3 linked regions of the Macaca fascicularis genome follow. Each later gene encodes a partner of the first gene's protein in a complex. Links are inferred from orthologs where the notes say so. Each region holds a gene or a part of one and is shown in the gene's direction. Other genes may lie near its edges. The genes, in order: TGFB1, ITGB6 and TGFBR1.

Region 1 (3,652 bases):
CTCTAGAATCATGCTGTCCAATGTGACAGCCGCTAGTCACATTTAATTTTATTAAAATTTAAAGTATTTAAAATTAAATTAAAAATTTAGGGCCAGGCATAGTGGCTCACATCTCTAATCCCAGCACTTTGGGGAGCCGAGGCAGGCAGATTGCTTGAGCCCGGGAGTCCGAGACCAGTCTGGGAAACATTTTGAAACTTGGTCTCTACAAAAAATACTAAAATTAGCCTGTTAACGGTGATGTGTGCCTCTAGTCCCAGCTACTCAGTAGTCTGAGGTGGGAGGATTGATTGAGCCCAGGAGGTCGAGGCTATAGTGAACTGTGATTGCACCACTGCACTCCAGCCTGGGTGATGGAGCGAGACCCTGTCTCAAAAAATATATATATAGGCCAGGTGTGGTGGCTCATGCCTGTAATCCCAGCACTTTGGGAGGCCAAGTGGGTGGATCACTTGAGGTCAAGAGTTCAAGACCAGCCTGGCCAACATGGCGAAACTCCATCTCTACTAAAAATACAAAAATTAGCCAGGTGTGGTGGCGGGCACCTGTAATCCCAGCTACTCAGGAGGCTGAGACGGGAGAATCGCTTGACCCTGGGAGGTGGAGACTGCAGTGAGCGGAGATCATACCATGCATTCCAGCCTGGGCAACAGAGCGAGACTCTGTCTCAAAAAATAAAAATGAAAAACAAATCCTCATTCTCACTGGTTGTATTTCTAGTGCTCTATAGTCACATGTGGTTAGCAGCTACTATTTTGGATGTTGCAGAAAAAGAACATTTCCAGAAAGTTCTTTAGGACAGCACTGCTCTAGAAGATAGGGAGCTTCCAAGAGGACTGGGGCATCTGGAAGGGCTGGAGGCTCTAGCAGTTTCTATGAGCTAGAATCCACATCAGAGGGAATGTTAAACTCATACGATGGTAGATTTCAGACTTTCATAGTGAGAGAACTTTGTCCTATGTTAGCTTGGCCTCTTGGAGTCTGGGGAATTCAGCTTTATTCTGCAGGCCCTGGAGTGGTCTATCCAGCCCCAGAAAATTCTTTTTTTTTTTTGTGGTGGAGTTTTGCTGCTGTTGCCCAGGCTGGAGTGCAATGGCACGATCTCAGCTCACTGCAACCTCTGCCTCCCGGGTTCAAGCGATTCTCCTGCCTCAGCCTCCCGAGTAGCTAGGATGACAGGCGTGCGCCACCACGCCTGGCTAATTCTGTATTTTTAGTAGAGACAGGGTTTCTCCATATTGGTCAGGGTGGTCTCGAACTTCTGACCTCGGGTGATCTGCCTGCCTCGGCCTCCCAAAGTGCTGGGATTACAGGCGTGAGCCACTGCGCCCAGCCCAGAAAATTATACTACACAGATGTTGGGTGCCTCCAGCATCTAGGTGCGGCTTGGCAGACTCTTGGGTTTATAGAACATTAGTCTTCTAAAGCTTCTCAGGCTCATTAAATGTGGAAATCTTGGGATATTATCAAACATTTGAATCACAAAATGACTTCTAAGTTACTGACTTAGAATTCAGGGTGTCACATTTGCAGAACTGCATGCTCAGCAAACCCCAGAATGTTTGCAGCAGAATTTTATTGTATTTGTTATTTATTTATTTATTAATTAATATTATTTTGAGACGAAGTCTCATCCTGCCACCCAGGCTGGAGTGCAGTGGCGGGATCTTGGCTCACTGCAATCTCTATCTTCCGGGCTCAAGCAATTCTCCTGCCTCAGCCTCCCAAATAGTGGGGACTACAGGCGCACGCCACCATGCCTGGCTAATTTTTGTATTTTTAGTAGAGATGGGGTTTCACCATGTTGGCCAGGCTGGTCTTGAACTCCTGACCTCAAGTGATCCACCGCCTTGGGCTCCCAAAGTGCTGGAATTACAGGCATGAGCCACTGTGCCCAGCCCAGAATGTTAGCAGCGGAATTTTAGCATTGTGGGCTGTCCACGCTGAGTGGGGCTTAGCATTTCACCAATGAGGAAACAGGCCGGAGAAGGCAAGAAAACACGTTTGACTGAGCTGTGTGAAGGTGTCTTGACCGCAGCCTGGGCGTTTTCTCCACCCTTCCTCTCACGGGTGCTGTGGGGGAGGATGGGTGCCACAGGACCACACAGCGTGGCTGTCTGAGAAGGTAGTGCGTGGGAACTTTCTGGAAGCAGATGGGGTGAAGGGTTGAGTTAGTATATGAGGGGGCGTGGCAGCATATACCCACTGTCTCTCTCCCAACTTCATCATCCTCTAGAAATACAGCAACAATTCCTGGCGATACCTCAGCAACCGGCTGCTGGCGCCCAGCGACTCGCCGGAGTGGTTGTCTTTTGATGTCACCGGAGTTGTGCGGCAGTGGTTGAGCCGCGGAGGTGAGGATCACTTGTGTGTCCCACCCCTGTTTCTCAGTGGGGTGCACCCCATTGTGTTGTCTTGGGGTCACTTTACCTAGGATCCCTCTCCGCCCCATACTGGTGTGAAAGTACTGAGACCTGGCTCCCCTCTGTGGCCTGGAAACCCGAGTGATTGGCTAATCTGTTTCCTGAGCACCTCTCTGCCCTGCCTTGTGATGGGTGATGCTAAGGACAGAGCAATGACCAAATCAGCCCCATCCTTGCCCTCATAGAGCTCATATAGTTCATTGGGTGGGTAGCTGGGGAACAGATCTGTAAGGCAGTGATGACCCAGAGTGGGTGGGACCGGGATGGGGAGCCCAAAGAAGGTACCTGACCCAGCCCAGAATCAGGGAGGGCTTCCTGGAGGAGGGGCACCATAGCTGATGTTGAAGGGATGAGTAGAATGGTCAGGAAAAGGAGAGGTGTAAGAGTATTCTGGGGCTGGGCACGGTGGCTTACACCTATAATCCCAGCACTTTGGAAGACTAAGGAGGATGGATCGCTGGAGTTCAGGAGTTTGAGAGCAGCCTGGGTAACATGGCAAAACCCGGTGTCTACAAAAAAATACAAAAATTAGCCATGCATGCTGGTGCGCGCCTATAGTCCCAGCTGCTTGGGAGACTGAGGTGGGAGAATCACCTGCGCCTGGGAGGTCGAGGCTGCAGTGAGCCATAATCACAGTACTGCAATCCAGCCTACACGAAAGAGTGAGATCCCATCTCAAAAAAAAAGAAAAACAAGTGTTCCAGGCAAGGGGAACAGTCTGTGCAAAGGCCCAGAGGCCAGGGAGCCTAACTCATTTGATCTGTCCCAGAGATGACTGTCTCTGTCCAGTTCCCGGCAGGGGCCATGGTGCCCGTATCTCTCTCCCTCACCTCCCTCTCATTCATGCTTTTATTCAATCATTGCCCACAGGTTCCTGCTGTGTGTCTGGCCCTGTGCTGGGTGGTGTGGGGGACACAGTGGTAACCAAGACAGCCCTCAGTTCTGCCCTCATGGGGCCCACAGTCACTTCTGGACACCGAAGAGATCTTGCCCCACCAGGCAGGAATGACCTAGAATGATTGAGGATGGGACGGGGAGGCACGGGCAGAGAGGACAAGGCTGGGACAGAGAGGCATGCAGGATGGGGGATGCCCTAAGCGCTGTTGGGAGCCCAGAGAAGGCTCCCAGACCCATCTGGGGAGTCTAGGAGGGCTTGCTGGGTGAGCGTGATTATGTGGAGACTCACAGGATAAATAGTAGTTTGGCCACATGAAAAAATAGGGAGTGGG
Region 2 (3,652 bases), on another chromosome or scaffold:
CAGCTAGAAACTTGCTTTCAAAATAAGATGTGGCTGAACTCATGATCAGCCCTTTGTGTTCTACTGTAATATCTTTGGTGCAGATTTCATCGTAATGTTGTACTTTAAGTAGTGGTTTTATTTCTAGGCTGGCCTATTCAATCCCAGTATAGTTGGACTCTCAAACCAAGAATGCTGCTACAATTGTTGGGCCCTTGGCAGGCAGACCTGGTGGTACAGGAGGGAGCAGAGAAAAAAGAAGACAGGTTCCTCTCTTGTCTTGCTACAGGGTGATTCATACTTGATGACAGCCTGAGATATCAGAATACAAAGGAATTGTCATTGTATAAACTTAGTGGTGAATTTTGGTTGGGAGCCCATAGAAGGTAGTGATTACACACACACACACACACACACACACACACACACACAGGAGTCTGATCACCTGATTATCTGTTATCTGAGTCTGAGCCAGTGCAGGACACACAATAAGCTCTAAATAAGTGTTAGCTAATATGGTCAACATAGAAAGGGTGGGAGATGATGTCAACAACCTTAACAGTGAGATTCATAGCTGAGTTACAGAGTCAGGCCCTTTAGAAAAACTAATCTTCATTTAAGAGAATGTTGCTAAGCTATCAGATCCATTACATTTCATCAATAATATTTTTGCATCTCACTTTTGCAGTAGTATTCCATACTTCTGTTTACCTACATTTGGATTCAAGCACATTTTGCCATTGACAAATGATGCTGAAAGATTCAATGAAATTGTGAAGAATCAGAAAATTTCTGCTAATATCGACACACCTGAAGGTGGATTTGATGCAATTATGCAAGCTGCTGTGTGTAAGGTATGCTGAAGGGAGTGCTGTTTCACGCTGTTAACATAAAGTTCATCTCTTATTAACAATTCTACTTCAAAAAGATTAGCTAATTTCCTTTCCTTTGATCTCTAAATTTCTACATTTTGTATTTTTCTTAAAACACACAATTTTTGCCAAATATTTAATTAAATCATGTTGAAATGGGGACTGTTCTTTATGCCTATGATGAATAATCTAAAAACATTGTGTTGGGAAAATTTAGTTGAAACAATAGCTATGCATGATTAATTTTCAAAGATCAAGATCAGATTAGTTTTTGGATTAATCATGGTAAAAAAAAATCAAGGGTAGAACATTTATTTTAAAAAGTTAAAATGCTCTGAATCAGTATATGTCCATACATATGACTACATAGCTATTGTTTTGAACCAACAAAGTAAGCTTTGGAAGTGTGCTGTCTCTACAACATCACAGGAACACTGCTTCTCCTTGACTATCTGACAAGTATCCACAAGAATGATTCCCTTGTCTTTAGGCAAGAGCCCTTCATGGAAAATACCAGGAAATAAACAAGGCTGAAGCTCCTAGAAAGTGGGAGGACTAGGGAATTAGAGGAGGAAGGAAAGGAATAATGTGGGATGGAACAGCCAGGATACGTTTTTACCCAATTGGTTCCTGAACTAATATTAATTAAAGGGGAGGGCTTTACTAAACACCAACAACAGACAATTTTAATTAGCAGGACCTTGGGGCCATACTTTCATAAGCAATGCTTATCCTTGTATTAGGTTTATAATTTTTGGATGACATCATTAGAAAGAGAAATATGTGCCTAAATGCTGGGTAACATTTTAATGAAACAGGCTTACTTTGAGCCCCTTTAACATTGCATTTTCACGAGTTTGGCTTCAATTTGGATTTGGGACCATCTATGAACTCCTCTGCTCAATTTTTTGGAGAACTGAAAGCTGGATTGTAAAAATAATTTAACTATGTAAAAGTCAAGATCAACTGAATACTGATTGTAGTGGAGCTATGCTTTTCTGAAGCATAAATCATATGAAAATGTTATCCAGGAAAAAGCAAATGTCACAGAATTTCATGTTTTATTAAAAACATTAATATTATCAATTCACAATAGATAAAAAGGCTAAAATAGACTAGCAATATTATTTTTATAACCTAAATGTGTCCCAGCATAATTGATCCACACTCAATAAAACGCCTGCCTCCCTCCAGTATCACACAAATGTTTGTTTCTCACTGTAGGAAAAAATTGGTTGGCGGAATGATTCCCTGCACCTCCTGGTCTTTGTGAGTGATGCTGATTCTCATTTTGGAATGGACAGCAAACTGGCAGGCATCGTCATTCCTAATGATGGGCTCTGTCACTTGGACAGCAAGAATGAATACTCCATGTCAACTGTCTTGGTGTGTAACCTGCACTCTGTACTGTTTTCAGGGCTATAAGTAGGAGAATGAAGCAACAACTGGTGTAATACATGTGAAATAATTCACGCTTGGTGAAAGCCGTGCACATTTTCTAATCTGAGATTAACAAGTTGCCCCAGTTCAATTCTCACCATCCTTAGAGATTCCCACCGGAGCATAGGTGGGCAGTGGGACATGTGGGAAGCTGGATGTGCTATGAATCCCATGATCCCAGAACCTCCCCAACCTCTCAAAAAGCCTGGTGCTGGTGAAGCAATACAGGCAGCTCATTCTGTTCTTAGCCACGGCCTCAGAAAGGAGGGACCCAAACCAGAACAGTAACCATATAGGATTTGCAGTGAATGATGGTCCCTGAATCGTGCCATGCTTTCATGTTCCATGGGTAACAACTAGTCAGGTATGGCTTGGTTGGTGCTTATTAACCTTTGGCTTATTTTTTGTAATTTATAAAATGCTAGTGACATTCAAAGAAAACAACTGACTTTCGTAAAACCAGGAAGAAATTTCAGAGCTCTTTGGACATGCATGATCTTCTCAATAAACCCCTATGTATCCAACTGCTTTTCCTGAACAGACCATGAGGCTGTCATGCTTGTGCACATGTTATTCCCTCTGCCTGGAATATTCTTCCCTCCTAGCCTGCTGAGAAACTCTTCATTATCCTTGAAAAGCCAGCTCAGTCATTACTGTCCCCAGAGAGCCTTCTTTGACCTCTGGTAGGCTCTGAAGCAATCATCTTTCCCTTCAGTTGCATATGCAGATGTGTTCTTGCACATCTCTACGTAGAAATACGTTTTCTTACATCTCTCTTTCTTGCGCAATCCTCAGGGCCAGGCCTGGTTTATTATCTCTGTTTCCTGATAGCACAGTGCCTAGAACACAGTGAGTGCCAACTCATGTATGAAATAGAGGCTGGGCGCATTGGCTCTCGCCTGTAATCCCAGCACTTTGGGAGGCCAAGGCGGGCAGATCACGAGGTCAGGAGATCAAGACCATCCTGGCTAACACTGTGAAACCCCGTCTCTACTAAAAAATACAAAATATTAGCCAGGCACGGTGGCGGGCACCTGTAATCCCAGCTACTCGGGAGACTGAGGCAGGAGAATGACGTGAACCCGGGAGGTGGAGCTTGCAGTGAGCCAAGATCGCACCACAGCACTCCAGCCTGGGAGACAGAGCAAGACTCTGTCTCAAAAAGAAAGAAAGAAAACAAAGAAATAGATTTGATTTCTGAAGCAGCAATCTGCGATTGTCATATTTTCCCCATTTAACACTTGGGGAAATATGGTACAGAGAATTTAAGTGACTTCTTAGAACAATGCTGTGGAGGTGTAGGTGGGGGAGAAAGAGAGGGGGAGGGGGTGCAAGAGGAGAGAAAGAGGGAGACAGGAACC
Region 3 (3,652 bases), on another chromosome or scaffold:
CCCCAGTCCTGGCCAGAATACACATGTCTTTTTTAGGGTTTGCACCAAGGGGAATAGGGAGTGTCTGGCTCAGTACAAATCTGTTTCTGTTACTCCATTACCCAGAAAGCCCCTGAAATGGCATTAGCCTACAGTTAATGGGTGGTAGTGTTTTCACGCATTGCTTCTCAAAGGAGGAGTATGTGAATGTTTAGTTTGGGGCTGGTTAAAAACAAAACAAAACAAAAAAAAGTATAACCATTACAAATTTAAATGTACTTTGTTTCTAATGGGAAGGCAAATGCTTGCCTTGCTTTGATGAAATTGAACATAACAAAATTTTTCTATACTTGGAAGCAAAAAACTTCAGGAAAAAACCTGGATCCAAGTGTTACTACATTTCCTTGGGCTTCCACATGTGTGTGGTTCTTAATATAATTTGAAACTTCTAAGAGCAACGAATAGTTGTTTTTTTGAACAGTGCATAGAAGTTGTGTGATAATAGGATCAAGAATGTATTGTTAGAGTGAATATTGGATAATTCCAAACTGTTAACCTTGAGATTTTTTTCTAATAGAATCTTTCTCTTTTTCCAGCATTACAGTGTTTCTGCCACCTCTGTACAAAAGACAATTTTACTTGTGTGACAGATGGGCTCTGCTTTGTCTCTGTCACAGAGACCACAGACAAAGTTATACACAACAGCATGTGTATAGCTGAAATTGACTTAATTCCTCGAGATAGGCCATTTGTATGTGCACCCTCTTCAAAAACTGGGTCTGTGACTACAACATATTGCTGCAATCAGGACCATTGCAATAAAATAGAACTTCCAACTACTGGTAAGTTGTTCTATAAAATTTTTTTCCTAGATACTACAAGAAAAACCCTTCACACTCTGTGACTTTAGAAGTGGAAGGGATCATAGAAGTTGTCTAATCCAACTCATTCCGTTTAGAGGCAAGAAGTGGCTTGTCCACTGTTACAGACTTATAAGAGTAGCCAAGATCCTGCCTCCTGGGTGTGTGTTGTTTAAGAAGGTTGTTCCAGGGTGGACTTCCTCTGAGGTCTGTTATACCTAAAAGGATAGATAAAAGCAAATTCTGACAAAGCCCCAACAACATCTTCAGATTGTCTCTACTTTGTTCTCAGAGTGAATTTCTTCTTCCTTATATAATGCTCCTATCTTTTACAGCAGTCAACAGTCTTAATGAGTGGTAATTCAGAGCAGCACTAAGTAGTCTAGATGTTTTCATTTTGTAATCTCAGCTTGTTTTATTATCTTTATGCATAAATTAATTATACATGATTTCTAGAATTTTGGTCCTTCACCTGTAGTTTACATTTAAAATTTCCCGGGGCTGGTGACTCATGCCTGTAATCCCAGCACTTTGGAAAGCCTAAGGTGGGCAGATCACTTGAGGCCAGAAGTTTGAGACCAGCCTGGACAACCTGGCGAAACCCTATCTCTACTAAAATCACAAAAATTAGCTGGGCATGGTGGCACATGCTTGTAATCCCAGCTACTTGGGTGGCTGAGGCACAAGAATCTTTGAACCTGGGAGGCAGAGTTTGCAGTGAGCCGAGATTGTGCCACTGCACTCCAGCCTGGGTGACAGAGTGAGGCTCTGTCTCAAAAAAAAAAAAAGATAATTAAATAAGTAAATAAATAAAATTTCCTGGCAGAACCAGTAGTTTGAAGGCTTAATAAACTTTTTAATTTTAAGATTCCAGTTTAATATGGAAGTCTGAGCACATGTATTTAACTCTTACCTCTTTCCCCAGATCCCAAAGGAATATAAAAATGAGGGCAACCTATGTTAATACTAGTGGAATTAATGGTAGAATGCCACCCACATGCCAACACTTGTGAGGAACTTCTGCAGTTCTGCAATTTACAGTACAGATGACACCAGACTGGTAAAGAATAGGATCAATAACTAATAAGAAAGGTTAGTCATTGAAAAGTCCGACCAATAACTTAGACGAGGGATTGGGGGTGAGTGAGGGTACGGGGCGAACTCTCAGTTCCCTTTTAGGAAGCACCTGGCTTCAGTGCTCAGAGGAGCAGACACAGTTGCTCACTTTCCACTCAGAGTTGGTCCAGGCCTTGTGCTAATTAAAGGAGGAAGCACTGCTGTAGCGCAGAAGGAAAAGGCCAGTCCTCCACCTGTTCAGCATGATAATGCAGCTCTCCCGTGGTAAGGGTTGGTTAGACTACTATGTCTTTGACTTTGATGAAAGCATCTGCAGTTATAATGTGACAAAGAAAAGGATAATTCCAGAATTTCCCATTTCCATCATTTGAGCTTGAAATATCTGAATAGAGATTTATAAAACCTTGTGAAGAAGTCACCTCATTTCTCATGTTTCTAATTACCATATATAAACTTCTCATTTCCAGCTCTAAGATAAGCAAACAGCAAAACATTACCAGTGAAGAGTTAGGAGCTCAAAAGAAGTAGTCTGAACTAGATAGATTAGATGTCATCCTATGAAATAGGTTTACCACATGATAGGGAGGAACTTTCAAACAGTCCAGGGTCTATTTTCAGTTATTCACTATGAAATGAGAACATTTCACGGTTGTTAAAGGTTGCTTTCAGAAGAAAAGCCCAACTGATGAATGTTTTTAAAAATGCACTATTGAGAGCGAACAACAGACTGGATGCCATAATTTTATAGTCAAGTTTGGGACAAGCTTAAGAAATTGTGTTACAATTCAGAGAAAAGACAGTTGGTGAGCATATTAAGAGATATAGGGAACAGATTTAGATGATCCAATATGCTTATTATCAGAATTCCAGAAAAAGGCATGAGACTAGAAAGAAGACAGAATACCAGGCAAAATTAATGAAAAAATATTAATCCAAACACATGTAATAAAAAGTATCAGTTTCAAAAATAAAAGAATTATATAAGCATTTAACACACATAAACATTGGTTACCTATAAAAGGCAAAAAAAAAAAAAAAGTTCAGATTTTCTGCTTAAATATCAGAGGGCAAATGGAACATTTTTGTAGTCACCTAAAATTCTTTAAATAGGCCAAGATTTTTCATATACAAAGGCAACAGCCTTCTTGCCACAAGTTCAGTGTACAAGGACGCATGGACTGTTCCTGAAGGAAATTACTAGAAATAGGACTCTGTATGATAAGAGATTAATCTACTGAAGATCTCAAGAATGGGAAAGATGTGGTATGAAAGAAATGGTGGTAAGTAGTAAACCAGCAAGACTCAGGATGAATGTCAGAATAATTGTAATTTTCTGAAACAACCAGAAAATTTTAATTATTAATGGAAGTTACAAGAAAATGATCTGGACTTAAAAGTTCAGGAGGTTAAGATAGAATAAAAAGTATGCAAACTCTGTTTAAAAAAAAAAAAAAAAAGATATGTTCTGCCTTTAAAAAACTGGTGGAGCTATTGGCTGGGCACGGCTCATGCCTGTAATCCCAGCACTTTGGGAAGCCAAAGTGAGTGAATCACTTGAGGTCAGGAGTTCGAGACTAGCCTTGAGCAACATGGTGAAACCTGTCTCTACTAAGATACAAAAATTAACCAGGTATGGTGGCACATGCCTGTAATCCCAGCTACCTGAGAGGCTCAGGCAGGAGAACTGCTTGAACCCGGGAGGCGGAGGTTGCAGTGAGCCAACATCACACCACTAT

What was found.
Region 2: the proteins of TGFB1 (region 1) and ITGB6 are in contact, whole or in part, in a crystal structure (PDB 5FFO), measured with the Homo sapiens proteins. The link is inferred for Macaca fascicularis from reciprocal best matches to the Homo sapiens genes TGFB1 and ITGB6. Residues at the interface, in NP_000651.3 of Homo sapiens: Pro70, Gly71, Pro72, Glu75, Leu158, Asn237, Gly245, Asp246, Leu247, Thr249, Ile250, His251, Met253, Asn254; in NP_000879.2 of Homo sapiens: Ser142, Ala143, Ser144, Asp146, Asp147, Pro196, Cys197, Ser199, Ile200, Pro201, Tyr202, Lys228, Lys231, Ile232, Ser233, Ala234, Asn235, Ile236, Asp237, Thr238, Glu240.
Region 3: the proteins of TGFB1 (region 1) and TGFBR1 are in contact, whole or in part, in a crystal structure (PDB 3KFD), measured with the Homo sapiens proteins. The link is inferred for Macaca fascicularis from reciprocal best matches to the Homo sapiens genes TGFB1 and TGFBR1. Residues at the interface, in NP_000651.3 of Homo sapiens: Ala279, Leu280, Asp281, Asn283, Tyr284, Tyr328, Ile329, Trp330, Gln335, Lys338; in NP_004603.1 of Homo sapiens: His39, Leu40, Thr42, Lys43, Phe55, Asn68, Met70, Ile78, Phe84, Val85.

Annotation. Positions count from the first base shown.
Region 1 is NC_088393.1:48,485,265-48,488,916, reverse strand, and holds part of TGFB1 (transforming growth factor beta-1 proprotein), read left to right. Parts: intron 1-2,236; coding exon 2,237-2,354; intron 2,355-3,652. UniProt on the Homo sapiens protein: Transforming growth factor beta-1 proprotein: Precursor of the Latency-associated peptide (LAP) and Transforming growth factor beta-1 (TGF-beta-1) chains, which constitute the regulatory and active subunit of TGF-beta-1, respectively.
Region 2 is NC_088386.1:55,604,730-55,608,381, reverse strand, and holds part of ITGB6 (integrin beta-6), read left to right. Parts: intron 1-667; coding exon 668-833; intron 834-2,075; coding exon 2,076-2,237; intron 2,238-3,652. UniProt on the Homo sapiens protein: Integrin alpha-V:beta-6 (ITGAV:ITGB6) is a receptor for fibronectin and cytotactin. It recognizes the sequence R-G-D in its ligands. Internalization of integrin alpha-V/beta-6 via clathrin-mediated endocytosis promotes carcinoma cell invasion.
Region 3 is NC_088389.1:58,995,739-58,999,390, reverse strand, and holds part of TGFBR1 (TGF-beta receptor type-1), read left to right. Parts: intron 1-575; coding exon 576-821; intron 822-3,652. UniProt on the Homo sapiens protein: Transmembrane serine/threonine kinase forming with the TGF-beta type II serine/threonine kinase receptor, TGFBR2, the non-promiscuous receptor for the TGF-beta cytokines TGFB1, TGFB2 and TGFB3.